Sus scrofa: one gene and its partners. The protein of the gene in region 3 purifies or fractionates together with the protein of the main gene of each other region. This does not show direct contact. Links are inferred from orthologs where the notes say so. Each region holds a gene or a part of one and is shown on either strand. Other genes may lie near its edges. The genes, in order: SF3B1, CHERP and U2SURP.

What was found.
Region 1: the proteins of U2SURP (region 3) and SF3B1 purify together in Homo sapiens (affinity purification with mass spectrometry; 4 studies listed by BioGRID and IntAct, with this or other methods). This does not show direct contact. The link is inferred for Sus scrofa from reciprocal best matches to the Homo sapiens genes U2SURP and SF3B1.
Region 2: the proteins of U2SURP (region 3) and CHERP purify together in Homo sapiens (affinity purification with mass spectrometry; 4 studies listed by BioGRID and IntAct, with this or other methods). This does not show direct contact. The link is inferred for Sus scrofa from reciprocal best matches to the Homo sapiens genes U2SURP and CHERP.

What each region holds. Positions count from the first base shown.
Region 1 is NC_010457.5:101,276,099-101,286,321, forward strand, and holds part of SF3B1 (splicing factor 3B subunit 1), read right to left. Parts: intron 9,955-10,223; coding exon 9,809-9,954; intron 9,709-9,808; coding exon 9,562-9,708; intron 9,420-9,561; coding exon 9,294-9,419; intron 8,842-9,293; coding exon 8,620-8,841; intron 8,112-8,619; coding exon 7,929-8,111; intron 7,836-7,928; coding exon 7,724-7,835; exon of another isoform or gene 6,670-7,723; intron 6,275-6,669; coding exon 6,154-6,274; intron 5,678-6,153; coding exon 5,546-5,677; intron 4,418-5,545; coding exon 4,145-4,417; intron 1,729-4,144; coding exon 1,512-1,728; intron 1,238-1,511; coding exon 1,079-1,237; 3' UTR 1-1,078. UniProt on the Homo sapiens protein: Component of the 17S U2 SnRNP complex of the spliceosome, a large ribonucleoprotein complex that removes introns from transcribed pre-mRNAs.
Region 2 is NC_010444.4:61,061,849-61,072,071, reverse strand, and holds the start of CHERP (calcium homeostasis endoplasmic reticulum protein), read right to left. Parts: upstream 9,113-10,223; 5' UTR 8,993-9,112; coding exon 8,968-8,992; intron 8,658-8,967; coding exon 8,484-8,657; intron 4,675-8,483; coding exon 4,490-4,674; intron 3,337-4,489; coding exon 3,199-3,336; intron 2,978-3,198; coding exon 2,826-2,977; intron 1,277-2,825; coding exon 1,132-1,276; intron 1,032-1,131; coding exon 942-1,031; intron 1-941. UniProt on the Homo sapiens protein: Involved in calcium homeostasis, growth and proliferation.
Region 3 is NC_010455.5:83,729,082-83,739,304, reverse strand, and holds part of U2SURP (U2 snRNP-associated SURP motif-containing protein), read right to left. Parts: intron 7,327-10,223; coding exon 7,222-7,326; intron 6,186-7,221; coding exon 6,119-6,185; intron 6,041-6,118; coding exon 5,877-6,040; intron 4,549-5,876; coding exon 4,386-4,548; intron 3,988-4,385; coding exon 3,908-3,987; intron 3,226-3,907; coding exon 3,138-3,225; intron 1,948-3,137; coding exon 1,825-1,947; intron 418-1,824; coding exon 261-417; intron 1-260.

The DNA of each region.
Region 1 (10,223 bases), on a different chromosome or scaffold from region 3:
AGAATTAAATGGCATTTCAGTTTATGCTTCATACTTACAGATCAATTTATTATCTGATTAATAAATGTAAAACTAAGCAAACCCAGCCACTGCCATTGTTTACCATTGGCACATAAGTAATCTAAAACTAGATGTCTCCCTTTTCCGTTATACTGCATTTCTTAAGGTCAAGGGGCAGGTCAAAAGCACATTTGCATCCCTTACAACTAAGCACAATGGCTGGTATACAGAAGATGCTCATCGGTGTGTGCTGGATAAACTGCTGAGTAGTGGCTTATGACAACAGAAAAGAGCCCAAAGATTATTTTATTCTAAGTAGCATTACTTAGTAGCCTCACTCCCAATAGGTAAAAAGCAGTTTTGAAGATACCAAGGTCATATTCTAAACACAGTTCACTTCCCTAAACATGTTCATAAAGCATTTTGAGAAAACAGGAGATGAAAGGCGCTATGTAAGTGCAAAATAATTTCAAGACAGTTCAGCAAAGGTGCTATATTTTCTATGATGATGTAAGGGTTGTGCTAGTTTGAGGTGAACACCCCCAAAGCTACTCTTCTTAATGTCATTATCAACAGAACAATGGAATTTTGACAAAGATGCCATCACTTTATATAGTTTGTATTCTGCTAACTACGTTCTATAAACCAGGTGACAGAAAATGATAATTAAGCCACTTATTCTACACAAACCAATACTTGATCAAAGTTCCGCATTTTACAAGTCATGTTTAAAAAACACACACAAGTTATTAGCATTTTGTACACAAATGTTTATTTCTCAATTAAACATTCCCTTTAAACATAAGGAATGAATTCTAAATCTTCATAAAGATGAATTACAAATGAAATCCCTCCAGTATAATGTGTGTATCACTGTGTTCTTGGTCACTACTGGCGTTTACTGTTTACATCAAAAACAAAGACAGGTTATTTAAAAAATCATGCTACTGGATTTCTAGCTCTTCTTCTATGACCAGTTCTACGCTGATCTGCAATGTTTAAAAGTTTACATCACCAAATCGAAGCAAGTTTAAGTTGTGAAACAGCTGTGCATTAAACACAAAATTTAACAATAAAGTTATAAGATATAGTCAAGTTCATAACGAATATAAGTATTCTTATCATCATTGTAGATTCTTGGGTAATGTGCTATGAGAGCATCCTGTGAACCAATGTAGATGGAGTTGTAAATTTTCCAGTACACATCTCTGACTTTCCGGGCTGGGTGAAACAAACCCTGGAATAATTAAAAACGTTGCATTATTTCAAGAAATACATAACTTTAGCATAACTAACAAACTAACCATATATATGGCTGTAAACATTTCCCTTTAGAGGGGGAAAAACCTAACAACTGCACAAAATTGCAGTAGGAAAGGACAATATCTAATCCTCCTTCCCCAGATAACCGTTTTCCCAAAGGGCACATCCCGTTGATAATTAGGAACAGTAAATTAATTCAACTAAATTATTTTTTTCAACAAGCACACTTTAAAAAATCTGTAACCTACCTGTAAACAATACTGCAGCATTCTACATGGTCCAATAGCAACTCTCAGACCCTCCAGGGCCCCCATAACTGCCTGAATTACATGGGGAGAGGTCTCAAACACATTGGGCCATACATAGTTCAACAAGTGATTCAGCGAATCTTCACAACCAAATCCATAAACCCCAAGTGACATGTGTTGCACCACCGCACTAGCCGTCTGTCTATGTACAAGGTCCCTGAAATGGAAGGGGAAAAATGCTCTGTGTTAAGATACAGTCTTAGTTTTACAGAAAATACCTGCCTGTCCATTGAAACTAAATCACAAATTCACTGCATAGAATGGATTGAGAGTCATCCTCACACGGTATGTATGTGATGTAGAATGCTTTTATAGAGACTAATTGAGACTTTTGCTGTAATAACTCAAACCTCACTATGGCTCAAAAACAAACCACATTTATTTTGCTTTGGAAGTAATGAGCTAAGAAAGCTCGGTGCAATGTACATTTTTGTATGCTACTAAAAGGGTTATATGACTGTACATACAAGTGATTAACAGTAATATCTCATTTTAAACTGTAACTTTATTTATTTATTTATTTATTTAGTATTTTAGGGCCGCCCCTGTGGCATATGGAGGTTCCCAGGCTAGGGGTCAAATCAGAGCTACAGCTGCTGGCCTACACCACAGCCACAGCAACATGGGATCTGAGCCATGTCTGTGACCTACACTAATGCTCACTCAATGCCAGATCCTTTACCCACTGAGAGGCCAGGGATTGAACCTGCATCCTCATGGATAGTAGTCAGATTTGTTTCTGTTGAGCCACAATGGGAACTCCAAAACATCATAAATTTAAAATCTTCTAAAGTATTTCAAGTATTTCAATATCGGCATACAATAGATAACTAAATTGAGATTAAGCCCCTTTCCTTATAAAAAAAATTTTAAGTTTCATTCTCAACTTGGGGAAAGGAATAGAAGGACCAGTAATTCTCTCTCTCTTTTTTTTTTTTTTTTTTTGTCTTTTTGCTATTTCTTGGGCCGCTCCCACGGCATATGGAGGTTCCCAGGCTAGGGGTCCAGTCGGAGCTGTAGCCACCGGCCTACGCCAGAGCCACAACAATGCGGGATCCGAGCCTCCGCGTCTGCAATCTACACGATCTACACCACAGCTCACGGCAACGCCGGATCGTTAACCCACTGAGCAAGGGCAGGGACTGAACCCGCAACCTCATGGTTCCTAGTCGGATTCATTAACCACTGCGCCACGACGGGAACTCCCAAAACATAAATTTTTTATTTCTGCCACACCTATATATAGCATGTAAAGTTCTGGGGCCAGGGATTGCACCCTCGACATAGCAATGAAAATACCAGATCCTTATTAACCCACTGTGCCACTCAGGGAACTCCACAGAACATAATTTTTAACTGCAGATCACATACATCAGTGGTCACACTATGAAGCTCAGGCACATCTCACTGAATTTGGGAAAGTATGATTTACTCCCACTTTACTGGACCTCAGATGGCCAAGCTTTTATAGAATGCGATTCTTATTCTGTCTCAGTATCTTCCATATATGCCCTGGGATAACCTGTTGAGTCCTGTTAGTCTCCCTTTTGGAAGATCATTAATAAATAACTTTTTTTAGTAAGTAACTTTAATATGCACACAAAAGTAAATGAATGGGCTCTTCCTTATCTTTCCTGAAAAATAAAGAGCCAGTGAAACAGTCCGTTCCCTTACTACTTTGGACCTTTAACTTTCCTTTACATGCTCTTTTAAAAAAAATTTTTTTTAATTGTTATTTCCCCAGTTTACAAGTTTTTAACTACTTTTGTGTTTAAAGCTATTACGTCAGTTTATTTATTTACTTTGGTCTTTTTAGGGCCACAGCCACAGCACTTGCAGGTTCCCAGGCTAGGGGTCAAATCAGAAATGTAGCCACTGGCCTTACACCAGAGGCACAGCAACACGATGCGAGCCACATCTGTGACCTACACCACAGCTCAGAGCAATGCTGGATCCTTAACCCACTGAGTAAAGCCAGGGATTGAACCCACAACCTCACGGTTCCTAGTCAGATTCGATTCTGCTGCACCAAGACGGAAACTCCTATTGTGTCTGTTTAGATAGTAAAGGTTTCAGGACTCTCTCAATCATCTCAAGGCGAACTTATCGGTGGTCACCATCTGTTTAATTGGGGGCTTGCAATGGGAATAGTGTGGGTCTGGGAGGCTACACTCAGTAGTTCAAAATCCTAACAGAAATCTCAGCTTCACCTGCCACAACAAAAAGCTAAAAAGACTGGTTCTGACACACTGATAAGCTCACACTCATCAATTCCTCTATATTTGACTTAATTTTTAAAACAAAAACTGAACAGTTACTGCTTTTCAAAATGTATTTAGTCTAATAGATATGAAAAGGGGAAGGGCACTTGGAAAAGAAAATTTGGGGAACAACTATAGCATGTATTTTATTTGAAGATAACAGTCATGTTTACAGTTTCATAAAAATCCAGGCCAGTAAGCCCTACTTCGGCTGCATCACAACAAACAGGTCATGTAATAATTATTTCAGTAAGTTCTAAAATGTAAGAATTTTAACTATTTTCTTGAATTTAGTTCAAGTCACTTACTTACCTATCCATTAAAGCATCTTCAAGTAATGGTGTTACAGCATAAATGTAGTCCTTTCCCATTTCACCAATATATTCAAACAAGAAGGAAAGTGATTTTAACACTCCATTTTGAACATTCAGTTCAGGAACTCTGTATTCATTCATTAAGGCAGGTAGTACTGTGAAGGGTGAACATGTTTCAGCAACAATAGCAATTGCTACAGTGGTACAAACTCTGTTCTGCCTTTCCTGAACTTTGAGGTTGTTCAAAAGTGTAGCCAATACATCATGAGGGCTGGAAAAAAATAAATGTGTCAACAAATTGTTAAATTACAAGTCAAAACTTTTCAGAGGGAAGAAAAAAATGCAACTGAATGAAACTTTATGAACTTGGTAATTTTATGATAAAATACAATACTTTTCACATCACTGGCATTATTGTTTCTACTGAAGAACTTCATTTAAATTAAAATGTTCATTTTAATGAAAAAATTCAAATATACTCATTTTCAAATGTAACTTACAGTCGTTAGGAAACTTCTTAAAATACAAAGAAACTTCATTAAATGCTTAAATTGAGAAGTCTTTGTGTGGTCAGAACATGGCCACTAGAGGTGGGCAACCTTACAACAGTATCCTCAACAGCAGTCTTCCGTGCCACAGCAAAAATCTGGTTTACTTTTATCTTCCCTCCCACGCACCTTTATTATCTTTATTCTCCTTTATACATTTATTTTACCACAAACTTAGAGGGACATAGGAACTAAAAAAGTTGGCACAAAAGCTATTCATTGCAAATCTGTTTACAAGCTAGGTGAAATAAACATTACTGCTATCAAAAGGAGGGTAAGGAGACTCTAATTAATCCGACTTTTGTTTTATTGCCTGAAAGTATTTTCTTTGTTATTAAGCCACAGGTACATAAGTATCTCATTTTCTACAACAAATGTTTCTTCTCCTTTGCTTCTGGTGAGTGGTTGTATTTATATTATCTAATAAAATAGCTATAATTCAGTTGTCTGTAGATTTATTTTAGAAAAATATTTTTAAAACACATAAAGCATTAACATGAGAAGTGAATTTTGGTAATTGTTTTACTAGGAACTGGCCTTAACATTTTAAGCAATATTCTAAAAGGACCAACAAAATTTGAAATTATTCAGAAATGGTAGTTTCCCTCTCTGAAAACAGTAAGTGTGATTAAATGAAATTTTAAATGCTTCCATCTATTTTAATTCCACTTAAAATTTAAAGAAATTTTCAAAAATTGAAGGTCAGTGTTGTTAAAGGCCATTCTTACTGCATTACTCAAACCATTCCTTAAAAGAGATCGCTTAAAAAAAAAAATTTCTTCAGAAGTAGAAGTATCTTTTCAACACAATGAAAGTAAAAATAAAAAAACATAGAAGTAAATAATACTCACCCAATGGCCTTTGCAATATAGCCAAATGTGTTGACTGTGGCTCTACGAATAGCTTTTTTGTGAGCTTTTAAGAGCTCTAAAAGCTCAAAGCAAATCCTCATCCATTCTCTTGCAGACACATATTCAGCTCCCCTGATTTTAAAAAAAGTAAAATTTTTTTGTGATGAGAAGTTTTAAAAGGTAAATATGATTACCAATACATTTTAAGCATTAAATAAAAATGTTATTAATGTTCAGAAAGAGTGCTTTAATTTTTTTTCTTTTTCTAGGGCTGCACCCATGGCATATGGAGGTTCCCAGGCTAGAGGTCTCATCGGAGCTACAGCTGCCGGCCTACACCACAGCTCATGGCAAGGCCAGATCCTTAACCCACTGAGCAAGGCCAGGGATCAAACCCGCAACCTCATGGTTCCTAGTTGGATTCGTTAACCACTGAGCCACGACAGGAAATCCAGGATGATTTAGATTTAAAAATATACCTCCATTTCCTTATGACAATCCAAACTGAAGCCTATTTACTTACATTAGCAACATTAAACAAATTTGAAAGTGAATAAATGTGAAAGCCAATAATACCATTTATAGAAATGTTTAGGTAATCTGCTTACCTATCAGCAATACGTCCAACAAGATCAATACAATTCTCTTGCACTTTTTCATGCCTATTCTTTAAGATGGGAGTGAGTCTAGGCAGCAGATCTTTAATTGGCGGTGTCATCTTATGCATACCTAATTAATAGAAGTCAACACACTATCAATTAACATTAGAACTGCAACTTCTGTTCACTTTACTTTTTATTTAGCAATATAATATACATGACTAGGCATAAATAAACTTACAGCTGCCTATGGAAAAGAAAATGCCCCAGATTCTGACCAAATGCAGGATTTTTTTTTAACTTTTTATTAACAACTTCTGATTATGCAGAAATGAAAGAAATTAGTGAAGTGATTTAAAGAAATGATGGATACTCAACAACAAAAAAGTTTTATTTGGTTCTGAAATGTATTTGTACACTGACATTTAAATATGGGGACATCTTAAGTTCCGGCCATACAAAACAATATAAGCCAGAGGTAGACATATAAATTAAAGCAAAATTTTCCAGAAAGGGCCCCCTTACCCTTTAACTGCAAAACAAACAGATCTCCAGTCTCCCTGCAATGCAGGGCATACTTGGATGGTATTTACACCTATGAAGAGAGAAAAAAGGAGGCAGCTGGCAGGGGCTCTTGCTCTAACTAGAACTGCTTGCTCTGATTCTCTCTCCATTGCTTTTCCCATGTTTTCTTACAAACAATATGGTTTACAATTCCCTACAAATCAGAGTCCCTCAAGTAGCCAAGTAACTGATTTTTGGCAAGTATCTCCAAGTATAGAGCACCGGGCTGAATTAGGGATTATATGTAAATGCAATGGTTCAACGATCTCCTGTATTGCATCAAAACCCCTTGCTAAAATGAGAAAAAACAGTGGCTATCACAGCCAGCTATATTGACCTCCTGATAGGTTATTTCTGCCCCTTTAAACTCTGCAGTTATTTTTGCAATAGTTATGTTCAATAAAATGAAGGATAAAACACGAGACATTTGCTCCTGTTCTACACACCAAAGAGCATTTGTAATATACCTGTGTTTTAACTTGGGTTAAAAAGCTGAATAGACAATTTTAAAGAAATGGATATAAATAAAAGTGAGGTTACTTGATCAATTCATTTTTCTCCCTGGTTATTGTTCCTTGAACTTGATAGCAACCAGGAAAACCTACCATAACCATTTACTAATTTAAGGTGGAATAAATATATAATATTTAGTCCTAAAATTAAAATTTCAGGGTTCTCTCCACCTTCTACCTCTCCCCCCATATATTTCAGGTGAGGTATTATTATTAGGGTCATCACAAAACTTCAAAATTTTTTGAGTTGAGACTATTCCCTCCTCTCTTGAAGGTCCTAAATTTGCCCTCTTTTCTCTTTTAAAGTAAAATATAAATGGGTTTTGGGAAATAAGACTCTAGCGACATCCCACGTTAACTGTAATTTTCATTAGTTTAAAAAAAAAAAAAAAAAATCAGACATTATTCATTACTCAACTCCTAAACAGGATTCTGTAATTTTACCTTCAAAAAACAAAGCAAATTAAAAATAAAAAATCTTACATGACCAGCAAATTCCATACCTATTACATTTACAATGGCCTTCAGTGCTCCAAGAATGCTGCCCAATACTTCAGGGTACTCTTCACCCAAATACTCATACAAAACAACACCCAAGTGACCCATCAATTTTTCCTGTAATAGTAAAAAAAAAAAAAAAAGTGTTAAATGTTACTGTGTACATTACTCCTTTCAGTGAAGAAATAAAAATCTGATACAAAAGTTTACCTCTTGACAAGTCTTCATGACAACAGCCGTTCGAGATATCAAGTCAGCTGCCTGTTGCCTAACCTTTGCTGATTTGTTATTTAAACGCCACAAAACTGTACCACAGATCTGAGGCAAATAAGGTTTGACTCGTTTGCCAAGAGCATTGACCACTGTGCCAAAGCCGTTCAACATTACTGAGTCCTAAACAGGAAAAAAAAAGAAAAGCCAAGTTAAATTTAAAAACCACATTCAATGTGAATAAGCATTTAGTTTGTGACTGAACAGTTGAAACATACTAATATTCACTTTTCAAAATTCTAATCTAAAAACTTAAGGTAGAAGATATTCCTTTGTAGCCAACTAAAAGATAACATGAGCATTTCAAAAAATTATTTCCAAAAAAATTTTTTTTTAATTTTATGGCCACATATGGAAGTTCCCCGGCCAGGGGTTGAATCTGAGCCACTGCTGTGACCTCTGCCACAGCTGGGGCAATGCCAGATCCTTTAACTCTGCGCCAAGCTGGGATTGAACCTGCACATCCACAGGGACCCAAGCCACTAGAGCTGGATTCTTAACACACTGTGCCACAGTGTGAACGCCAAAATTATTTCAAATTTAATTACTTATAAAGTAATAATACTTGCTTGAAAATGTTTTACAAATATGAAAGTCAGTGGCAACTTGCTGTAATAATTAGTGTCATTACCTCTGTAGTCTGTTCTTGGAAAGCATAAAGAATACCATCAATCAGCTGTTCTTCAAGTTTATGATCAATATCTGCTGCCCCCAAGTTGCCCATAATTTTCTCAATTGTCTCCATGACCATTTTTCTGTACTGTTCAGCTTCATCTTTCAGATCATCCACAATCCTGGATATAATTTCTGCTGCACCTACTTTGTTTGCCAACTCCACAGTAGTATCAACTAACTAAAAAGAAGGAAAGCAATCATGTAATTCATTGCTTTTTCAAGGAAATAAAGAGACATCATGAAAATGGAATATTCTAAAGATACTACTTAGCTAGTAATATGCTGAGAACAACTGACTTATATTATAAAAACTTTTAAGAGAAAGGTGACCAAAAAATTTAAATTAAGTCTAAATCAAGGTAATTTAAGGTTAAATTTGTATTCATGCTTCACCTATCCAGATTAAGGACTTCATTTACTAAAATGTCAATTTGTAGTTGGTTATTTATCCTAGAATGCAAAATCAAAAGGGAAGTTAATTTTGGCTAAAATCCATCTCCTTGACAATCAAGCACAACCAACCTATAAAGTTCACAAAGCAAAAGATATTTATGTAATATGCATTCGAATTAGACTAAAGGATCAGCTGAAAGGATTTTTGAAAACTTTTTTTCTTCAGCAAAGGCTTACCTGTCGGTAATTTCTTCTATCCAAAGCCATTCTATGTTGCCAGAAGTGTTTAAAAAAGGGAGGGAGGATCTCTGTTTTAATGTAGTTTGCTTCTACACCATCTGTTCCACAACACTGCTTTACCACCTGAAAGGTTGAAAAATAGTAACAGTAAACATAGTTCTGTTTTAATATACAATATTTTGTAATGATATAAAATTCTCTTTGAATGTTGAAGCACATCCCAATTTAGATTGACAAATCCGGAACAATAATTTGGAAAAATTACCTTCAGCACAATTTTCTTCATTTCTTCATCAGGAGATTGGAATTCTCGAATAAGAATTAACATCACTTCTCTGGTATAGTAGTTGGCATATTCTGCATCCATGAGGGGAATAAGATACCCAATAGCCTTTAAGAATGCAGCCAGACCCTATTTTAAAATTTTGAAAATACAAATTTGTTACATTAGATTTAAGTCACTTCAATAAGTAGAAATAAAAAGAAAAATGAAATCAAATTGATGGATCTACCTTTCCTCTGTGTTGGCGTATACCTTTCCATAGAGGCTTTAACACAGAATCAAAAGACTCGATACCATAAGGAGTTGCTGCTTCAGCCAAGGCAGCAATGGCCAAAGCACTAATGGTCCGTACTTTCTGCTGCTCATCCACAAGACCTATAAAAAACCAAACACAGGTTTCCACTGAGTAACTTTACCTAGTTTCTATAATATCAAGATTCTAGCGATACACATAACAACTTAAGTCAAACTGAAGCTGTTCATATTAGACAAAGTTAGACCAAAGCCAGTATGAACCACAACCTATGAGCAGCTACTATTAAAAATCCCATCATAAACTATATGGTGTTTAGGCAGTTCACTTCCATTTCTCGCTCCAAAATCTGTAGCCTAAATTTCAAGAAATCTGTCTTATAAAAAACAAA
Region 2 (10,223 bases), on a different chromosome or scaffold from region 3:
GGTGTGAGCTGTGCCTTTTATCCTAGCAGCTGTAGATGGGGTAGCAATGCCAGGGCCAAAGCAGAGGTGACCAAGGAGAGCCAGCCCTCCTTTCCTGCCCTGCGACCCTGTCCTCTGAGCAGGTGCCCCCTCAGAAGCAGATGTGTGCACAGGGGTCACAGGTGACACGATGACTGTGCACAGGGGTCACAGGTGCAGATGTGTGCACAGGGGTCACAGGTGACACGATGACTATGGCAGCCCAGATTACACTGGGGTTTCCTCACACTCCCATCATGCATGGAGGACCAGAGCAAACAGGCCAAAGACACTACAAAGAGGAGTACCTAAACCAGACAACCTGGTCATTAAGTCTCGTCACAAGAAAAAAGTCTGGTGGGCTCACCTAGGAAGGGCTCACTGGCTCTAAATTGGGTGGGTTGGGGGCGTCCCCGGAAGCCGCTCCTCAGACCCACCTCCCACTACCAACCCAGGGGCACACCTGGAAGCCCAGTTGGGAAAAAGCTACCAGAATTTTTCTTTTTTTTGGGGGGGGGGTCTTTTTCGTCTTTAGGGCTGTGCCCACGGCATATAGAGGTTCCCAGGCTAGGGGTCCAATCGGATCTATAGCTGCCGGCCTACACCACAGCCACAGCAACGATGGATCCAAGCCACATCTGCAACCTATACCACAGCTCATGGCAACGCAGGATCCTTAAGCCACTGAGCAAGGTCAGGGATTGAACCCATGTCCTCATGGATGCTAGCTGGGTCCGCTAACCACTGAGCCACAGACAGAAACTCCTAGAATTCTGAGGTCACCACGCCACTGGCGGCTCCCAGCCTGGGTGGGGAAACCAGGTCCCATGACTTCTGGGAAGGTGCTGGGGTGGCAGTGGCCACACACTCCAGGGGCACCCACCCTGGCCCCAGGGAGCCATGCCAATGGTGGTGGCACTCACCTGGTACTGGCCGAGCCCCAGGGCTGGGCTCTGTAACTGTTGGATGATGGAGTCGTCAAAGTAGCCATTCTTCTCCCAGAGCTGCAGTAGCTGGATGTGGGGGAGGAGGGAGAAGCCGCGTCAGGGGGAAAACAAGTGCCCTGAGAAGCCCTCGCCCACCTCCCCTGCCCCTTCCGGCTGACCCATGTACCCGAGCGATCTTCTGCTGCTTGTCCTCCTCCACAGCCAAGAAGCTGGTACAGTAGATGGGCACCACGACCTTCTGCAGGGCGGCCAGCAGCTCCCTGGCCTGCTTGCGCTGGCTGTGAGGGAGAGACCTTCCGCGCGTCAGGGCCCTGGGGCGGGACCCGGCCACGTGCCCGTTACCATCGCGGCTCCAGCCACAGCACCCTCTGCCTTTTCGGGAAATGGGCCCCCAACCCAGCCGGGACAAGGGCTGAGCCCCCCACAAGACCTGTGCTGGCGCCTGGGCCCAAGTGACAGATCCATGGCAATGGGAGGAGGGAAAGAACACAGCCTGGGGACCTTCACAGCAAAATCTGTCACCCTGGTCCCCTCATCAGTAAAATAACCCTTCTGTCTCAAGGGGGCTTGAGGATAGACAGGTAGAGGCTGTCCACAAAGACCAAGCCACGGCTGTTGTGGGCTCAGGGCCCTGTCCACCTAGCCTCGCTCAGCACTGTCACCCCCTCCACACAGGAAACCTAAGACCCTGCTTTCCAGGAGGCAAAGGGAATATGTGAGCTGCCAGGTGCCTAGGAGCCTGAGGCCTGGCCTCTGGGGGGGCTCTGTGCATAAATGGGTGTGGAGGCCCCTGTGACTGTGCACTGAAGTGGCAGAGTCTGGACAGCACATCCCATCCCAGGGGAGGACATGGGAAGGAGGGTGGACAGCTGGAACCTCTCCCCTCGCAGAGCTCACCGGAGAGCAGCAAGTGCCTGGGGCTGGGAAGCGGGGGGAGGGGAGGGAGGACAGTCGGGCCAGGAGGACAGGGCAAGTGGCACTGGGCTTCCAGACAGACTGAGGCTTAGGAAGAGTATGGCTGGAGAAGTGCCACAAACAGGGCCGCCTCCGCAGAGCTGCCCAGTCAGCGGAGCGGCTGGTGAACAGGAGGGCAGACAAGGTTCCAGACAGCTGCTTATTTCCCAATGGCAGAGAAGGGAAGGCGACGCAGGGAGAGCTGAGTGAGAAAATGGAACCACCCGCGTGGCAAAGGAAGCGGGGAGGGGTGACATCGGCTGCATGTGGGCAGAAGACAGGGTAAGACCTGGGTCTGATTCTGTTGCCCTCATGGGAACCCTCCCTTCGGCCAGCCAAGTTCAAAGTCAAATGTGGCAGCCAGTCTTCACAGCGACACACTAGCCTTGCTAGCACCGCATGCTTCTGCCTCTCTCTGGCCCAGGCACCTGGTTTCTTAAATTAACTTTTGTCATTAGGTGCCAAAGAGACCATGCGGAAGTAGGACCTTCCTGTCTTGGGAGAGCTAGGGAGGTGGGGGCCCTTCTCGGTGGAGTGGAACAGAGGTCTAGCCAAGGGGACCCTACGGGAAGATTCCTAAAGCAGAATCAAGTGACTGGGCGGGTGTGTAGGTCAGGGAAAGGGAGCTGGCAGCTGACAGACACTGAAAAACACCAGAAGCTGCCCTGAGGAGAACAAGGAGCGAGAGGTCAGTGGCCCCAGGGGGGGATGAGGGGTCTGGGTAGGGGCCAAGCTGTGGGGGATGAGTGTCCTCCTGATGGAGAATTTGTGGCTGAGACTGACCCTCCCCCAGGGACTTTGGAAGAGTGATCCCCAGTTCCAGGATAGGCCAGACTACTGACTGCAGAGCAGTGGCCAAGAGAAGGAGAGGGAGCAGGAGGGAGGTGGAGCTGGCGGGGCCCTCACCAGTGATGCAGGACATCATTGATCAAGTAGATGAGGTGCAGCCGCAGCTCAAAGTGTGCTCCGTCAGCCGTGATGCGGTTCCGGAGGTGGCCCGCCATCAGCTCGCAGTGGGGCGGGGACTTGGCGTTGCTGAACATCCAGTTCTTCCCGGCCTGCAAAGCCGGGGCAGTGGGTAAGAGGGGCCAGGCCTCCCTGGGCTGAAAATGTGCGCAAACCCTGTCACCTCTGCCCACCTTCTGTCTCTTTCTTGGTTGGAGGAAGCCCAGGGAAGTGCTCCAGAGGGAAAAGTGGGGAAAGGAGACAGAATGCCTTTAGAGTAGCCCTGGCCCCAGAAGGGAGTAGCAAGTTCTGGGAACGCCTCCCCTGTTCTCACCGAGATGGCGTCTTTAGTGCAGGTGTCAATGATGGGCTGCAGCAGGTTGTCAAACTCATTCATGTCCAGCTGGGTCTCCTCCAGGAGCTTCTGCATCTGCTGCTCCACTGCATGGGCCACAGCCGCTGTTACCTGCTCCTGGGAGGCCAGGTGGGACCGAGACTGCGTTAGGAGAGGCCTCGGCCCTGGGCCCTTCCAGGCTGGCACATCAGTGTTCTGCCCCCAGCCCAAGTAGGTCTAACCTATCCCTCATGCCGGAAGCCCAAGACATGCATCTGTGAGTCCTGCCACAGGAGGCAGAACAGGCAAAGGATAAAGTCAGACAAGATACAGGGGGAGATGGTCTCTCTGGGGTGACAGAAAGATTAAGGCCCAGAGGAACAAGGAACCTCTGAACATTGATTCACCAAAAAAAGAAAGAAACATGAGCAACAGGAGTGAACACAGTATAGAGGGAACATATAAATGGTTACCAGTCCAGTAAAAGAGCAACCTCACTAACAATCAGGGAACTGGAAATTAAAAGATGCCACCGGGCTTTTGCCCATTAGGTTGGCAAAATGAGACATGGCTAAGATCCAGTGCTGCTGGGGGACAAGCGGTCAGCCCAGGGCTGGCCGAGGCTGGACTGCCCAGTCTGTGATGAGCCCTGTGCGGAAACTGAGGTTGAGTGTTCTGGAATATACATGTATATATATGTGTTTTTTAAAGTTATACAACAGTAACTCTCTATCTTGACTTCTTATTTTTTATTTTTTATTCTTTTTTTTTTTCATTTTTTATTCACTTCATTTTTCTATCAATTCATCCTATTCTCTTTGGCCAAAGTATCAGATTGTGATGGACTAGGACAAAAAAGACCTTCCCTACAATAGCTTGGGGCAATCTAACTAGCAGGGGCTGGTGCCAATGGCACCAGACGCCACCTGGCATTCTGTCACACAATTTCTAACTTGCGGCCCCATTTGTTGGCATCCACTTAGCACAATGCGTGTGCGTGTTTTAGAGCTCGTGCAATGATCTCACTGGGATAAGAAGCAACCTCAGTGTCCAGCATCAGGGGTCGAGCTAAACACAGCATGGGTGCTAGCAGCACTGGAGGGATAACAACTGTCATGAACCAAGCCCTGGGCAACAGGAGTCCCCTTCCTCAGCAGTGCCATCTATCATTAGCGCCAAGGTACCAATGCAAAAACTGAGGCACAGAGGGTGAGCTCCGGGAACCCGCCTCAGGAAGAGAGAGGAAGGGGGGCAGGCTCTGGACTGGTGGGGGGAAGGACTGGGCCCATACCTGTCTGAGGGCCAGCAGGTGCTGCTCCTGCTGCTGCAGGTTCCATTGGCTCTGCTGGATAAGCTCGTCCATGGACGGGGTGCCCTGCGTTGGTGGGATGGGTGCAGCAGGGGCCAGCGGGGGCTGTGGCAGGGGTGGCAGGGCGGCAGCTGGCTCTAGCTCTGGGGCCTGCTGCTTGCAGATGACTGGCAGGAGGGGAGGAGAGGTGGACTCTGTGAGGAGGTGGCCGGGGTCCAGATGTCCCCTTGGCTGCCTCTGGGGCAGCTCTAAGCCACAATGGCTCCCCATCCTGTACTCACCACCCAATAAAGAGGACCCCTGAAATGCACCGTGGCCACGCCTGCCCCCAGTCTCCCAGTGCTTAGCCTGAGACCGCTTCTATCTGACCTACCCCCTTCCTGCCCGTCTTCTTCTTGGAGACCTCACCACTCTCTAGCCAACACTGTTTGGCTTTGCCCACTGTCCTTTGGGCCAGAGGAAGCCTGAGCCTATCCCTCACCACCCTCTCCACACCTTGGCTAGGCCTAAACCAATGCTGAACAGAGACCAAGGCACTGCTGGAGAAACAGCCTCTCCAAGGGGTCTCTCAACCTCCAGCCTCCTCAGCAGCAGCAAACTCCAAGGCCTGAGGCCCCCAGGCTACTCTTCCCTTTCAAGACATCAAAGCCACTGGACCTCTGGATGACTGACTGTGGCACCCCAGACACATGCTGTGGCCTCTCCACACCCCACCCCTAGCCTTCCTTCCACTGACTCTATTCAGAGAAGGAGGCCCCTCTGCCTTAAAAGATCAATCCAGATGGAGGCGGCATTGGATGCTCCATCCTGCTGGCAGGATCCCGGATGGGGTGGGTTCCTGCCTTGCATTCATCAGAAGAGATGGGAAGGGTCTCTGGACAAGAAGACCCCCTCTCAGCATTTGGGCCTTGTCCAGTCTGAGTGTGACCATGCACTGCTGGAGCCCTTCTGAGTCCCACCCTAAGGGGGCCCCGACTTTTGACAAAGCCAAAGAAGGGACAGCGGGTGGAAGGTATCACCCAGGGCTCATCACAGGGGGCCCTACTGCTGCTCAGGTGTGAGGCAGGGGGGATGATCTCCTAACTTGTGCCCTAGATCTCACCCACTCTGCCCTCCTAGGAATCTGTTCCCTAGTTCTCCTTTCATTTTCTCTCTCTACTGACTCCTCCCCAGCAGTATTTAAACACACCCGTGTCTCCTATCCATAAAAACTCCCTTTTCACAGGAGTTCCCACTGTGGTGCAGTGAGTTAAGAATCCGACTGCAGCAGCTCTGGTTGTGGCAGAGGCACAGGTTCAATCCTGTGGGTTAAGGATCTAGCCTTGCCACAGCTGTGGCGTAGGTCACAGCTGCAGCTCAAATCCAATCGCTGGCCTGGAAACTTCTATTTGCCACAGGTGAGGCCATAAAAAACAAAACAAACACCCCAAAATTCCCATCACCCCACCCACCTCTCTTAACAATTCTCCGTCTCCCCTTGATCTCAACCCATGGAGGACTGGCTCTGTCTGCCCACCCCACCCCCATAGCCAAAGCCAAAGTTCTGGGGGTCATCCTCACTCAGCCCCACGGCCTCATCTCAGCTCCTTGTCTCACGTGGCTGGTATAGCTGTCTCCTTGGCCCCTCCTTCCTCTGTCTGACCCTTATGCCCAGTTTGTGAACTAAGTCCTCTTTTCCAAGTAAGCCCCCAGGGAAACATGATATACTCCTGGGGCTGCAGTTACAGTCTGCACCCTACTACCCCATAAACTATCACTGTCATCCTGGGTTCCTCAAGCTTTGGGTCTCATTACAGACCAAACAGCCCACTGCTCTCTATAGGCATCACTTTCCCCTCACCCTGTGCCCTACCCCTTCCAAAGTCCCCCTCCTGACCTGTGGCTGGCACAGCTACGTCCATATACTCAAGCCAGAAGCCAAGAAAGTCTAGACACCTCTCTTCCTTGCAGCTCATACTAAACTGTAGTCAAGGTACTCCCCTAGATCACATGCCAACCTGTCCATGTCTCTGCCATCACCACCATAACTCTGCTGTCACCTGTATCACCCTGGGAACTGGTTTCCTGTGCTGTGTCCACTCCTGTCCCCCCCACTCACAGCTGTAGTACCGTTGCTCAAGTGTGGTCCAAAAGGCACCCCAGGTGATACCGAGACTATAAACAAGCACAGAAATGCCAAGAGAGCGTTTTGGCACTTTTAAAGCAATTTGATATTTCATGGTTCATGTTTCTACTGTGCAAAACTGTACTTTTCACAGCAAATTGTTAAAAACAAAAACCAGTCCGTTACCACAGTCTGTGGGGCAACATGCTAGAGCAGTCAAGGGTCTCAATCTTCTCAGACTACCAGGGTGAAGGGCGGGCTACACAGTGGCTAACCCTGCTCCAGAACATAGTCTTGAAACCCTTCAAGAGCTCCCCAAAAGCCTCCAGAATTCCTGAATCCTTGGCAAACCAGCCCTACCTGCTCTGCACCCTCCCTTCTGGCCACCCCAAGAATCCCTCCTTCTCTGGGCTCCAGGCACCCTGAGCTCTTGTCCCCTCTCTCCCCAACCCCTCCTCAGGCGTGTTCCTCAGCCTGAACACACTTGTCTCGTCAGTTCCCATCAGCTAAATGACTTGAACTTTAATGGCAACAGTTACCTACATAAAACACTTTCTGAGCCCCATTCCCTTCCAGAAGCATCCCAACCCCCATTATAGCACCACGTCCCAAGAAGGTCCTGATTTCTGACCTTCCAGGATGGGAATAGGCTCCCCTTGCAGGGAAAGCATCTCTCACCTCACAGGAACCGGAGCCAAAACACTGTCCTCCCCTGCCCAATTATGCCACCTGCTTCAATATCCAACTGGCCCTTCCCTTTAACCCCAACTGTCCCCAGGCCCACATTCTCTACTCGACCTGCCAACTTAATTCAGATTTTACCACCAAACTGGTCCTAGACTCCACTCAATGCTCCCTCCAATCTGTCCTCCATACAAGTCACCCAAAACCCAACATTTTCAGGCAACAGACCTCCTCCACCCTCATCTCAAACATACACAGGCACCAGAAGAACACCAGACTAAAGAAGAAAACCCAAGCTTTTCCCTGGCATTTACCACTCCAGATCAAACCCGACCCTGTCGACACACATCAAAACTCCAGCCATGCTGGGCTGCTCACAACACACTGTGTTTGCAAACGTGATGACTGAGGTTTCTTTCCGCTCTCAAAACACACTGTGCTTGTTCAAGCCATTGAACCTTTGCTGTGTCCTATGAACTCTTTATTGAACACCTACTACGTGCTACCTATTAGGCACAACAATGCCAAACAAGGCCCGGTTGGCCGTGGGGAACTTGTAGTTCAGGGAGCATCCACCTTTCAATGTCCATCTACTTGGCAATCTAGAACACAACATATCTGGAAGCTAAGGATTCACTACTGAACAGGGCAGATGTGGGTTCAGGGATCTTTACTACCTGGTGATTATCTGTTATTCAGAGACCAACTGTGTTAACCAACCCCATCTTAAGCTCTTTTAGAAGAGGGTTGGAATTTTGATACCAAGAACTAATACCCACGAAACAACTCATTTTTGATCTAGGCTACAACCATCTTAAAATGCACAAAAACCTCGCTGGACAGTATTTGCCCCAAGGGTCTCACCCAATCTGGCTTCTACTACTTCCTCCCTGGAAACCGCTGAAGTAGTCACTACCTTCCTGACCTCAGTCATCACGTTTGCAAAACAAGAGTAAACCCTGATCTGGAGCCCAGCAAAAGGATCGATAACCCCGTTCTCCATTACACTGGGACCCAGCTGCCGCACGGGTGCAGAGCCCCGGGAACAGCGAATGGGACCGTGAAGACCGAGCTAATCCATATTCCCAGAAGAACAAGCGATTTAAAAAAAGGCGGTCTGTGGCAGAGCCCGAAATGGAATCAGAAAGGAATCGCTGGAGAGGACGGCCGGAGAGCAAGAGAACTCACGCTGCTGCTGCTCCAGCGCCAACTTGCACTTATAGTAACTGTAGAACTCTCCTCCGAACAGAAACGAAAATTTTGGGTTGTCCTTCTGCTTCTCCATCGTCATCTTTTCAAATTCGGGCCCATTCCGAGCCACGAACTGGGCCAGCTTGTCGATGACATTTCGGAGCTCCTGGTCTGGAGGACGGAGAAAAGGCCACGCGGGGCGTCAGCGAGAACCGCCCAAATTCGGGGGCCCTGTCGTCCCAGCCCGCGTCTGCTGGGCCGGGGGTCCCTAGGGGTGGGTCCGGGAAAGGCCGCCTTTGTACGGGTCCCGATAGGGGCCAGAAGCGCGCCGAGAATGCGGGAACCCGCGGGAGAGGCCGCAGGCGGACCCCGGAGGCCGAGCCCCGCCCCCTCCTAGGCCCGGGGACCCCGGGAGGCGAGGTAGGCCAACAGGGGATTCCGGGGAGAGAGAAACAGCCTTCGAGCCCAGGCTGGGCCTCACCATCAGGCGGCAGCGGCATCTCCATGGCTCCAGCCGCGGGGAACGTCCTCCGGCGCCTCACGATCGCCCACCAGGGCCGTCTGCGGAAGCCGGCCGGAAGTGGCGCGAGGGAGCCTTTTACGACTGGCTTCGCGCGCTGCTTCCGCCCGCCACTTACGGCCGTCGCCAGGAAACCCCGGAAGTGAGGAAACGAGGCAGGCGGGAAGAAGCCGCGAGGGGCCGAACGCACGGAGGGGCGAGCACCACGCACGCGCAGGGGCTTTCCCGCGCATGTGCGGAATGGACTTCTGTAGCGCGACGCGAGGGAACGGCTGGAACGGTGCAGGCGGCCGTTAGCTGCTCTTGGGGCGTTTTCCCACGTTACGTGTTGCAATGCGAGGACTTGGGCAGTAGATTCTTCCGTAGGACTAGGGGCCCTGGGGAGTTACTGCGCTAGTCAGTGCCCTATTTTCTCCCAGCGAGGCGGCGGTGCGGAAAATACGAGGTGAGGTGCGTCCAGGAGGCGCCTGGGCTGCGGCGCCGGTCACATCCTCCCGGGCTCGTCCGGATGTAAAAGTAGAACTGGGAGGCTACAGGCGTGGCGGGGATGGAACAGGGCTTATCGAGGTTCAAAAGTTTCTCCTGCTGTGCTTCTTTTCTTTAATCCAACTCTTTGATAAAGAAGACTTAGGGCGAGGGGACACCTCCACCTCTACTCCCTCCGTTTTCAGAAGCCTTTCAGAGCTCGCGTGGCTTCTGTGTAGTCATTCAAGCGGGTGCCGGGCCTTCTAGGCTGCGCGGTCAGAAAGATGCACCTTGAAATACGCAGTTATGTTACTTATGAAACTTTGAGGAGTTCCCACTGTGGCGAAACGGGATCTGCAGCGCCAAGACACAGATTGGATTCCCCGGCCGGGCTCAGTGGGTGAAAGAATCCGGCTTAGTTGCCCCAGCTGCAGCGTAGGTCACAACTGCAGTTCAGATTTGATCCCCGGGCCCATATGCCCCGGGGCGGCCAAAAAAAGTGAAATAAAACGATGGTAAAGTTAACGCTTGCTAATTGCGGGGAAAGATAGCAAGGAACAGCAAACGTTAAAGAAACGTAGACTTGTGACTTCCCTCGCAATCTGAACGCTTTTGGGATTACCATTGTTAACATTAACACTTAGTTGGCGGTACCTCCCTACTCTGAAAACGGTGTTGGGGTGTTTTAGATACATTTTTTAAATTGTTACTTAGTTTCTCCATCTGACGTTATAGATTGTCTCCTGTATCCC
Region 3 (10,223 bases):
AAGACAAGAGAAACTCACTAATATTATAACAGGCTGACTGTCCCAAAAAAGAAACGTGACCAGAAAGAAAACTTTTTCTTGGCACAATCAAATGTATTACTGGGTATCTGAATTTTGAAAAGTCCGAAATAAAAAACAAAAATTTAATGACTGACACCTTATTCAGAAGGTATAAACTTTTTCCATATCAGCATGTGTGGAAATTAGTTTTGGACTCAAACTTATTAGCTAGATTAAATAAGCTTGAAATCTGAACTTACAAGGCACTCCATCAAGATCATCATCAAGACTTTTTATAGGGACTCCATCAAGATCATCAATGGGAGTAGCATCAATAGGAATTCCATCCACATCTTCTAGAGGTGCACCATCAAGCTCTTCCTCAATGGGGGCACCATCAAGGTCATCTGGTACATCCTACGAATTCACACACTACTGTAATAACTACTGTAATATTTTCTTTCTGGCTTAATAAAAGTCATATTGCTAAATGATTAATTTGCAATCCAATCCAGTATAAACCAACCAGCTGGATATTCACATTCCCAGGTAAAATGTGAGGACATAATAAGAATATATTTTTAATTGTCCAGTCTGAAAAAGCAGCAGTCATTTGTGCAATTGTGTTTTTTTTGGGGGGAGGCTCTTTTTAGGGCCACACTCACAGCATATGGAAGTTCCCAGGCTAGGGGTCTAATCTGAGCCATAGCCGCAGGCCTACGCCACAGCCACAGCAACGCCAGATCCAAGCTGCATCTATAATGCTGTACCTTGGAGCAATGCCAACTCCTTAATCCACTGAATGAGGCCAGGGATTGAACCAACATCCTCATGGATACTAGTCAGGTTCTTAACCCACTGAGCCACAATGGAAACTCCCCATTTGTGCAATATTTACCAAGTACTTAATATTTACCAAGTACTTAATGATGCCAAGTACCATGTGAGGCACTAAGGATACAATGATAAGCAAAAATCAGGCTTTGGTCCTTAGTCCTTCCTGTCACAGAGATTAGTAGAATTGGGAGATGGAGGAGTGTGGGCAGAAGTGTAGAGAAGGAGCAGGCAATCAGACAATCACAACAATATACAATGACTACTACAACAAAGAGATGTATCACATTATTAGAATGTGTAATAAGTTGGTTCCACCTAAAAAGTCTGAGATGGTTCAATGAATTTATGCCCAAACTAAACTCTGAAGGGTTTCAGGTAAAGAGGAGGTGTTCCAGAAAGAGGAAAGAATGGGTACAAAGGTCTATGCTAAGAGGAAACATAGTTAAAAAACTGATACAAACACCATGTGGTCAGAGCAGGGAAGCCACTAAGAAGTAACTTGTAGAGTGAAAGTGACAAGAGATAGCTGGGTTAGGATGGTAGAAATGAAGATAAAGGCTTTAAGAACTATTGAGGAGGTAAAAAAAAAAAAAAAAAAACAGAATGGTGATAAACAGAATCTGCTATCACTGTGGTGCATTTTCTTTACATATTTACTTACATAGCTATCCTTAGTTTAACAAAATGAAACCATGCTACATATATTGCTCTATTACTCATTTTTCTACTAATATGCAATAAATCTTTCCATGTCATCAAATTAAAAAAAAAGTCATCAAGTTTCACATAAGGACACAAAACAGAGAAGCCTTGTTACAAGTCATTTCAGCTCCTGGGATCCAGCAATTCCAGGAACAAATCCACTATTTAATGGTAAATAGGTATTTTTCACAAGGAAATGTTATTCATATCTGTAATACATCACACCTCCACAGCATCCCCAGAAATAAATTTTAAGGTAATCAGACAAATACACTGAGTGCCTACCTCTGTTTCCTTTTCTTCAATAATATTTACAAGTCCTAAGAAAATATTTTGTAGTTTGATCAAAAATGGTTCTGGATAAATTGCCCAATCTTCCCACGCTCTAAAGCAGGTCATTACCCGTTGCTAATAGGAAAAAGACAATGAATTATTTTTTAGGGCAACACATATCAAACTTAGCTCATGATCAAGTACCATCACAAGTTGCTGTATTTTCCTTTAAACCAATATTCTTTTTAAAATTCAGAGGACAAATATTTACAATATCTTTTTTAAAAATCAGTATTACTTCCCAATTTAAAGGGGACAGAAACTAAGAACAAATAAAAAACAAACAGTAACTGTTTGCTCTTGGCCATCAAAGATCAAGGTCCCATACCACTGGTGGTACACATGAGGTCACATTCTAGGAAATACTAGCTAAGAAACTTAAGAAAGTTGGATATCAAGGTAGCCAAGTTTTGATCTGAATTCCTTTAAGGTCTGATGAAGTACTTCCTGATTCTAGCTTTATTCTCTATCCCATCCTTCAACTTTTCTATAAGCTGTTTTATGATCAAAATTTAAGGTCAAAAATTTTTTAATGAAGTTGCTTGTTTGATCCCCCTAAATGGTGGGATCTTTGGGCATGTTCTCAAGCTTAAAATTTCCTTAATCAATCTTCTTTTCAAGAAAGTATACTTATTTTTTTCAACTACAAGTATTTTCTTTTGGCTTAACATTGGTCTACAGATTAAGAGCAGCTTTATTAAAAAATTAATAACTGAATATACTTTCTAAACATGAATAACTAAAATGTATATTCCTAATTGGGCCAAATTAGATATACCACTACAAAACAGGTAAACTTCTGAATGTTTTCTGTGAAGAGAAGACTTATAACTTAAATAAAATTCTTAAAACTAAAACAGACACCAAATAATCTAACTAGATATATTTTAAAATTTCAGATTTTTTTGATACTGAAAGTAAAATGGTAGTAAATTTTTTTTTTTTTTTTTTTTTAATAGCTGCACCTGCGGCACATGGAGGTTCCTGGGCCAGGAGTTGAATCACCACAGCTTTCGACAACACTGGATCCTTAACCCACTGAGGCCAGAGATTGAACCCACATCTTCACAAAGACAACATAGGGTCCTTAACCTGCTGAGCCACAATGGGATCTCCAAAACGGCAGTAAATTTTACAACAATTTTTCAAACATGTAAGTTATGTCTTACACTTGGCTTAATACTCTTCTAGCCCTCCAATGTGCTTCCTTGCCTCCATGTCTCATTTAAAACAGCAGGACAAAAATAATCAAACAATAAACGTACCTTGAAGTTTTCAGACTGTAAATGGCCTTGAATTGTACGATAGGTAGCATTGAGGTCTGAAAATATCTGACATAACTTTGTTTCAAAACTGAAATTCAAATAATATATCTTTTACAATAGAATTTGCTTTAAAATCCCTATCCACTTCAGCATGCTAGCCAACGAAAACCACTTCTAGACTTTTTAAATTTCATAAATAATCAAGTAATTCAAGAACTAGGTGTTTAAACTTTAAAACTATAACTTTAACACCTATTATTCTGAAATTTTCTTCTACAAAATCTCCTAGAGTTTTAAGAACTAGTTCCCTTGATCAAAAACAAACTTCACAGCCAGGATAGTAGTCCACCTAGTCCACAAAATTAAGCAGAATTAAGATTAGGACCAATATATCTAAATTTCTCTTCAGAGTCAGTTTCTAAAGAAAGGCTTCCCTAACACCAAAAAGGAACTCAGGGGAACTGAGGAAGAGTTATTTATATTTGCCATTACTTCTACTGTTTCAGCTTATTTATTATACAAGTGACTAAATATGCAATAGAAATAAAGTCATATTTTGACTCTTCCTATTTGTTCTATTATCAAGTTTATCAAGAGATGAATACAGTTTAGTTCAACACAATCCAATTTTTTTGAAAATTCTACAACTATGTAGAAATTCAAATTTCTTATTATTGAGGGTATTAATTATCAAAAACTATCCTCTTTTTTGAGCTCCTTACCCTTAAATATTTTATTTTAGGAATATCTGCTTACACCACTATACTTACAATTTTCTATAATAGGAAGCATTGGCAACTTTGGCTGAAGAGTTGTATAACACATCAGAAACCAAATATAATCTGGCAATCTAGAAAGCCAAAAGGTAACACAAAACAGATTAAAAATAAAAATCAACAGAAAATATATCTTTTAAAAAAAATCCCTTATTCAAATTTTTTGAATCAAGATCTTAAGGCTGATGTTTACCTATGATTTAAAAATCATAACTAATTAGACAAGCTATAAGAAATTCGGTATCACTACACCATGACTTTGATAGGGATAAAACCTGTCATTCATTTATATTTCAACCTGTTGGTAACTTGAGTATCATCCAACCTCCCCAAGCAGAAGGAAAATAAAACTGCATGGGAAAGATTTCTTCAGTTAAGTCTTTCATTTAAAACAGAAACCAATTTCAATCCCAAAAGAAATCAACTATTATCTTTTACTTAGAAGTTCCACAAAGAGAAATCATTCCCATACCTTTTTGGGAAGGGGTGTCTTTAAGATGGACAATGACTCAGTAATGCAATCTACTATTTCTTCAGCAGCTTCAGCATTATTAAGACAGAAAACCATTGCATCTCCAATATCATTTTTCCTTGGCGTTAACCCCCGCAGAATTTCTTCTAATTTGTCCCTCTGTCTGAATACAAATTTTTTAACTTATAAATATTTATAGATACAAACTTTAAACGCCATTATAGTTCCTACTGACAAACTATTGTCTTTAAAACACAGTCAGATAAAATTCTGAAGACTAAATTGTGTTAAGTCTGATTTGTGTTACATATTCCAAATGTTACAATTTTTTTGGAAAACTTATATGGGGAAGGATATTTTTTCAGGAACTAATAAATTATTTCAGTGACTTTCACAGTTTACAAATTAAGCAAATTTAAAATTATAGGTATTTTTTCAAGAGTCTTTGAGAGTGTCCCAGTCCTACTATCCTATTACACTGGAGAGAAAAGAAAAAAAAAAAAAAAACCTTCATATTTTTCACTCTCCTTTCAAGGAAGTCTGTTAAAGTATATCCTATGCATAGGATGAGGACAAGCTACAAATCAAGGATTGACAAACTTTTCCTGTAAAGAAAGGCCCAGAGAGAAATATTTTAGGCTATGAAGGCCATAGAGTCTCTGTCAGTTCCTCAACTTTGCTGCTGTAACACAAAAGCAACCATACATGTAAAGGAGTGGGTATAGTTGTGTCCAAGAAAAACTTTATTTATGAAAACAAGAGGCAGCCAGATTTACTCTATGGACTGAGTAAGCAGATCCCTGGGCAAAAGTAATGATGAACATACAGCTTCAGAAGCAAATACACTCTCAGACAGTATAATTATCTATTAGCAAATATTCTCACAAACAATGCATCAATGCAACTAGTATTAAGATTTATGGACTATACAGTGAAGTATATAATCCTGTAAACTAAAAATTACTTTAGCCTTTTTTCCCATCAGGTACGCAGAACTTCCTCTGAACGTTAAATCTGCTTCTGCTTCTTAAACCAGGCTAACTGCATTATAACAATGCTGACTGAGCACTTAATAATATACACTTCCAGAGTGGCCACATATTACACTCCATGATGAAGCTTTGCAGTCACCCATCTGACTCCACTAAGCCATATGATAATTTTTTCTCTTTATGTTACAGAGAGGCAAGAATTCTAAAGGCCCTGAGAATTTCTATAAGAATATAAAGAATTCCACTGCTAAAGGACCATCACTTAAGAGATCACCATTAATTTTTACCAGCAGAAAGAAGTCAAGTTCAATAGGACACATACTTATACTTATCAAAATGTGTAAAATTACAATGTGTTATGTCAAGTGATGTTACTCTTTTAAACATTCACAAATTTTAGAAACCATTTTAGAGTTAACATTATCTTAGTAAGACCATTATTTAAAATGACCATTGAAACAACTTTTCTGAATATATAACAGAAAGGAAAAAGCCTTACTCTTCCTTAAGTGCTCCCTTTTTACTAGGCTCCTCCACAAAAGCTTCTGTTTCCTGCTCTTCTGACATCCCATGCAGGTATGGATTTAATGGTGGTGGCCTCCAAAACGATCCATTTTTGAACATACGAAAATCTTCCGTCCGCCACTTAGTTGGAGAATCTCCCTAATAAGCATCCACAATGTTATTACAAAGTTCTAATACCTCAGAGTCAAAATTAACAAAGTAATTGTTTATACTTACCTGCAGAATAGAATAAAGCTTCCACCTATAGTAAACATGGGCTGGTGTCTGGTTTTCAAATAAGAATCTAAAAACAAAAAATTAAACATCATATTCTTTAATGGAGAACTGCCTTCAAGTAAATATAAACAAATGAGAAATATCTGCTTATTTAGTTCTAAATAAAATCAAAGGCAAATATCCCTTAAGAGAAATCCTCATCCCAACCCCAGACCACCTTTGTAACTGACATTAATACTCAGAAGATATACACACACCCTGCTGAGTCTTACAGTTTTATCAAACACTTATGTGTCAGATACTGAGTCTGGCAATGGAGAGGTTTTCTCAAGATAAAATCTCAAAAGCAGTGGTTTTCAAATGATTTAAAATTGTAAATAAATGTTAGATATCACTGCTATTCAGAAGATGAGCTCTTTCCTATAAACCTCATTTATCTTACCATAATCTGCTTATGAAAGCAGATTCCACTGAAAAATAAAATGAAGAGTATTTTCCTCCTAGAGAATGCTAAAAACAATGCTACTTAATTAACTAAATCATTGAAACCATTGGAAAACTGATCCAAGCACAAATTCTAGCCTAATTACTAAAAGTGCCTTCTCACTCCATTACAAAAACCTCATTGTTTTTCAAATTTTATTCTTGGAATATTCTTAATTTCAAGAAACAAGTTTAAAGCATTTTTTAAAATGCACACCTGAGGATAAACAAAATGTGGTATGTACATGTGATGGAATATTATTCAGCCTTAAAAAGTAAGGAAATTCTGACACATGCTATACCAAGGATAAACCTTGAAGACATTACGCTAAGTAAAATAAGCCAGTCTCAAAGTACAAATAGGGTATGATTCCACTTAGATGAGGTACCTAGAGTAATCAAATTCAAAGAGAGAGAAAAGTAGAATGGTGTTTGCCAGAGGCTGAGGGACAAAGGGAATGGGGAGTTATTGTTTAAGGGGTCAAGTTTCAGTTATGGAAGATGAGAAAAGTTGTGACAGTTGACAGCAACATAAATGTACTTAATGCCACGGAATGCTACATGTAAAAATGGTAAACTGCATGTTATATGTAAATCTCACAATTTTAAAAAATGCATACCTGAACATAGGATTGTTGATCTCTCTGTTCATAATCATAGCTTCGAACATTGGCCCTTCACGTACAACAAACTCTATCATTCGATGTATCAGGGCGAGCAAATTCCTACAACAACAACACAGTTAAAGAAAATGGATTCAGACCTACCACTATATAAAACTATACTTGAACTAAGTTACTAAAATTGTGCAGAAAAAGATTATTCTGCTGACTAATACAGAATTTTAAACCAAGAAAGTAGCCTGGAGCATATGTTAACACCTTGTGCATTAAGAGGGAGTGGGGCAACAGGAATAAGGGAGTGGGAGGGGGAGGAAGGTAAGGGAGGGTAGGAAACCACAACACAGCTTCATAGTAATAAAGATTTCAATTTCTAAATGCCACTTAATTTTATTTTCCAAATGCAAAACATTAAATTATGTGTCACAACTAACTGGAAAGCTGCAAATATATAAAATCCATAACTTTGAACTTATATGTTATCATAGCCATCTAAAAACTTACACACTAATCTCAGTTTAAAGAACATTCCTACACCAAGCACTTTTGTGGTGGTATTGAAAAGTTATATACATGACTATAATTTTATAAAAATGCAAAACTATTTAACAAGTATAAGGCCTGATTTAATAAAAGAAAATCCATCCAACTCCTGTGCTTTTCTGGTACACATGTAGCAGATGGAGTTTTATTGAATCTGACCTTTAATGAGGCAACATCCCTTTGGACCACACTTCAAATTAGTTCACACAGTTCATGACAAGTACAATTCTGCCTGTGTGTTATGAATCAATAAAACAGTTATATTGTCAAAGCCTTAAATGAATGGAGTCCTCTTTCCAAAATATTCCAAAATAAGGGACATAGTAATACGTCCTTTCTATTTTTCTTAACAATTACTTTCCAATATTTATCCAGAAATAAACATATGTGTTTAACTTTTGTAATTTTATTGTTTGGGCTTATAGAAAGTCTATTTTTTAAATCTGAAGCCAACACCTTATTAGACTCCAAGCACCAATTTTAGACATTGATTACAGTGTCAAGCAAAAGTGGCTCAGCTTATTACAGCTATTCCTGATTTCTCATTTCACTGGGTCCCCAGCATATAGAGTTGGCAAATAACAATCGGGAAAAGCAAAAGGATATTGGCTCTTGGTACAAGGCACACACTAAGTTACACCTTTAGCATTCCCAGATCAAATTAAGTTCGTATAACTGCTAAAATATAAATAAATATATAGTTATAGGATAAGACATTTTTTGGCTCTATAAAACCCTGCTTCAGAGTACATGAACAGTAAAATATCTCATGGTGATAATTATTTTCTCACAATTTTCAAACAAACCTACTTTTAAGTGGATACTTAAATCTCTACATAGTGAAAAAAATAAAATTTCTTTGACCTTCTAAAAGAGATCAAAAAAATTATATGAAAGTTTAATAAGTCTTTAACAAAGGGAAAACTACATATTTAAAATGAATTCAATTTCAAATTGTTAAAAACAAAAAACCAAAAGCATCACTTATTTTTAAATTTAAAAATTCTTTTTCTTTTGTAGAAGTATTAACTGCTCTGCAAATATGCAGTTCTTGATGTATAAATGAAAATGTATTCTTAACATCCATATGGTTAATTACATTGTTTTGAAGAAGGGAAATAATGCAAAGTTATGATTCAGTTCTGAACTCCCACTGGTAGGGAAATTTTATGTATCATAATATATAAAATCAATTACTAGGTGGATAAATGCTATACATCCAGAAACTTGTATGAATTAAGTCAAAAGCAACTTGACTTGCATATTAAAGATAGATGAAAAATGGTTTAGCAAGTTTAAAACAAAGGATTCATTGTAATGGTCAGTCAAGACTTTACAACAAAGTGTGTACTCAAAATTTTGTTTAGAAATAAGCTAAGCCACATGAAAAGCTAATACTGGATATATGCTTTTTGAGTGCTACAAAAATACTTTCCTATGAATGCTTTGTCAGTGGAAAAACCACTATAGTTTTAAACAGGCTTGTAACTGATAAATCTATTTTTAGAAAATTTAACGTTTAAAAGAAGTTTTATAATGTTTGATGACTATTTAAAATCAAAATCTGACAATTAGTTGTTGTAACTCAAATTCAAGATTACTAAAGGACTGTAATCACTCTCTTGTTTTCCTTAAGGATGTGTTTCTTATTTTTAAAAGGGTGACTTTTTTCAGAAAGAAGCAGTGTAGTACAAAAAGATGATATATTTTAAAGTGCATTATTTTATTTTAAAATGGTAATTATCTTATTCTGGGCAACAACAACAAAAAAAAAAAAAAAAAAATTGTCTCTCAGTTATAATAAAACCACATTTATTGGAGTCGATCGTACCAATGTCTGGTCAAAAACTGTATACTTTCCCAATCCATCCCATGATGTTTTCCTGGTCCCCCGCTGCCGCAGACAGTTCAGCTGGTGTTGCTCACCAAGGCCAATGTCAAAGAGAATTTGGTATTCTTTTGTGTTCATTTATTATTCAACCAGTGTTGTGTTCCTGTGTTTGGGAAAAGGCTTAGCTTGACTGAGCAAGAGCATACCTAGAGCATGAATTCTTCTGCTTTAACATTATGTTGAAAAATAAAAAAAGGAAGAAAAGAAAATAAAAGAATTCCAAACACCTTTGTTATCATGAGAAGTTTCTAATATGTTCAGTGTTCATGAAAATAATAGAAATGCCTTCTTAAAATCATTTAGGAAAAATTAAAACTATGCCTTCAGAAAGGAAAACTCAAACTAAGGTTGCATATTAGACAATTCAGAAACAAGAAAAAAAATAACAAATTGGATCAAATTGTAACATCTAAAATTTAAAACATTTAAAACACCTATTTTCCTACCACAACAGTCTAATATTAGACTAACAACCCCAGATTATATCTATTAAACACATTCTAACTACTAAAGCTATAAAAACCCTACATTGGTAATAATAAAAACAAAAAAGATAATGACATAAAAT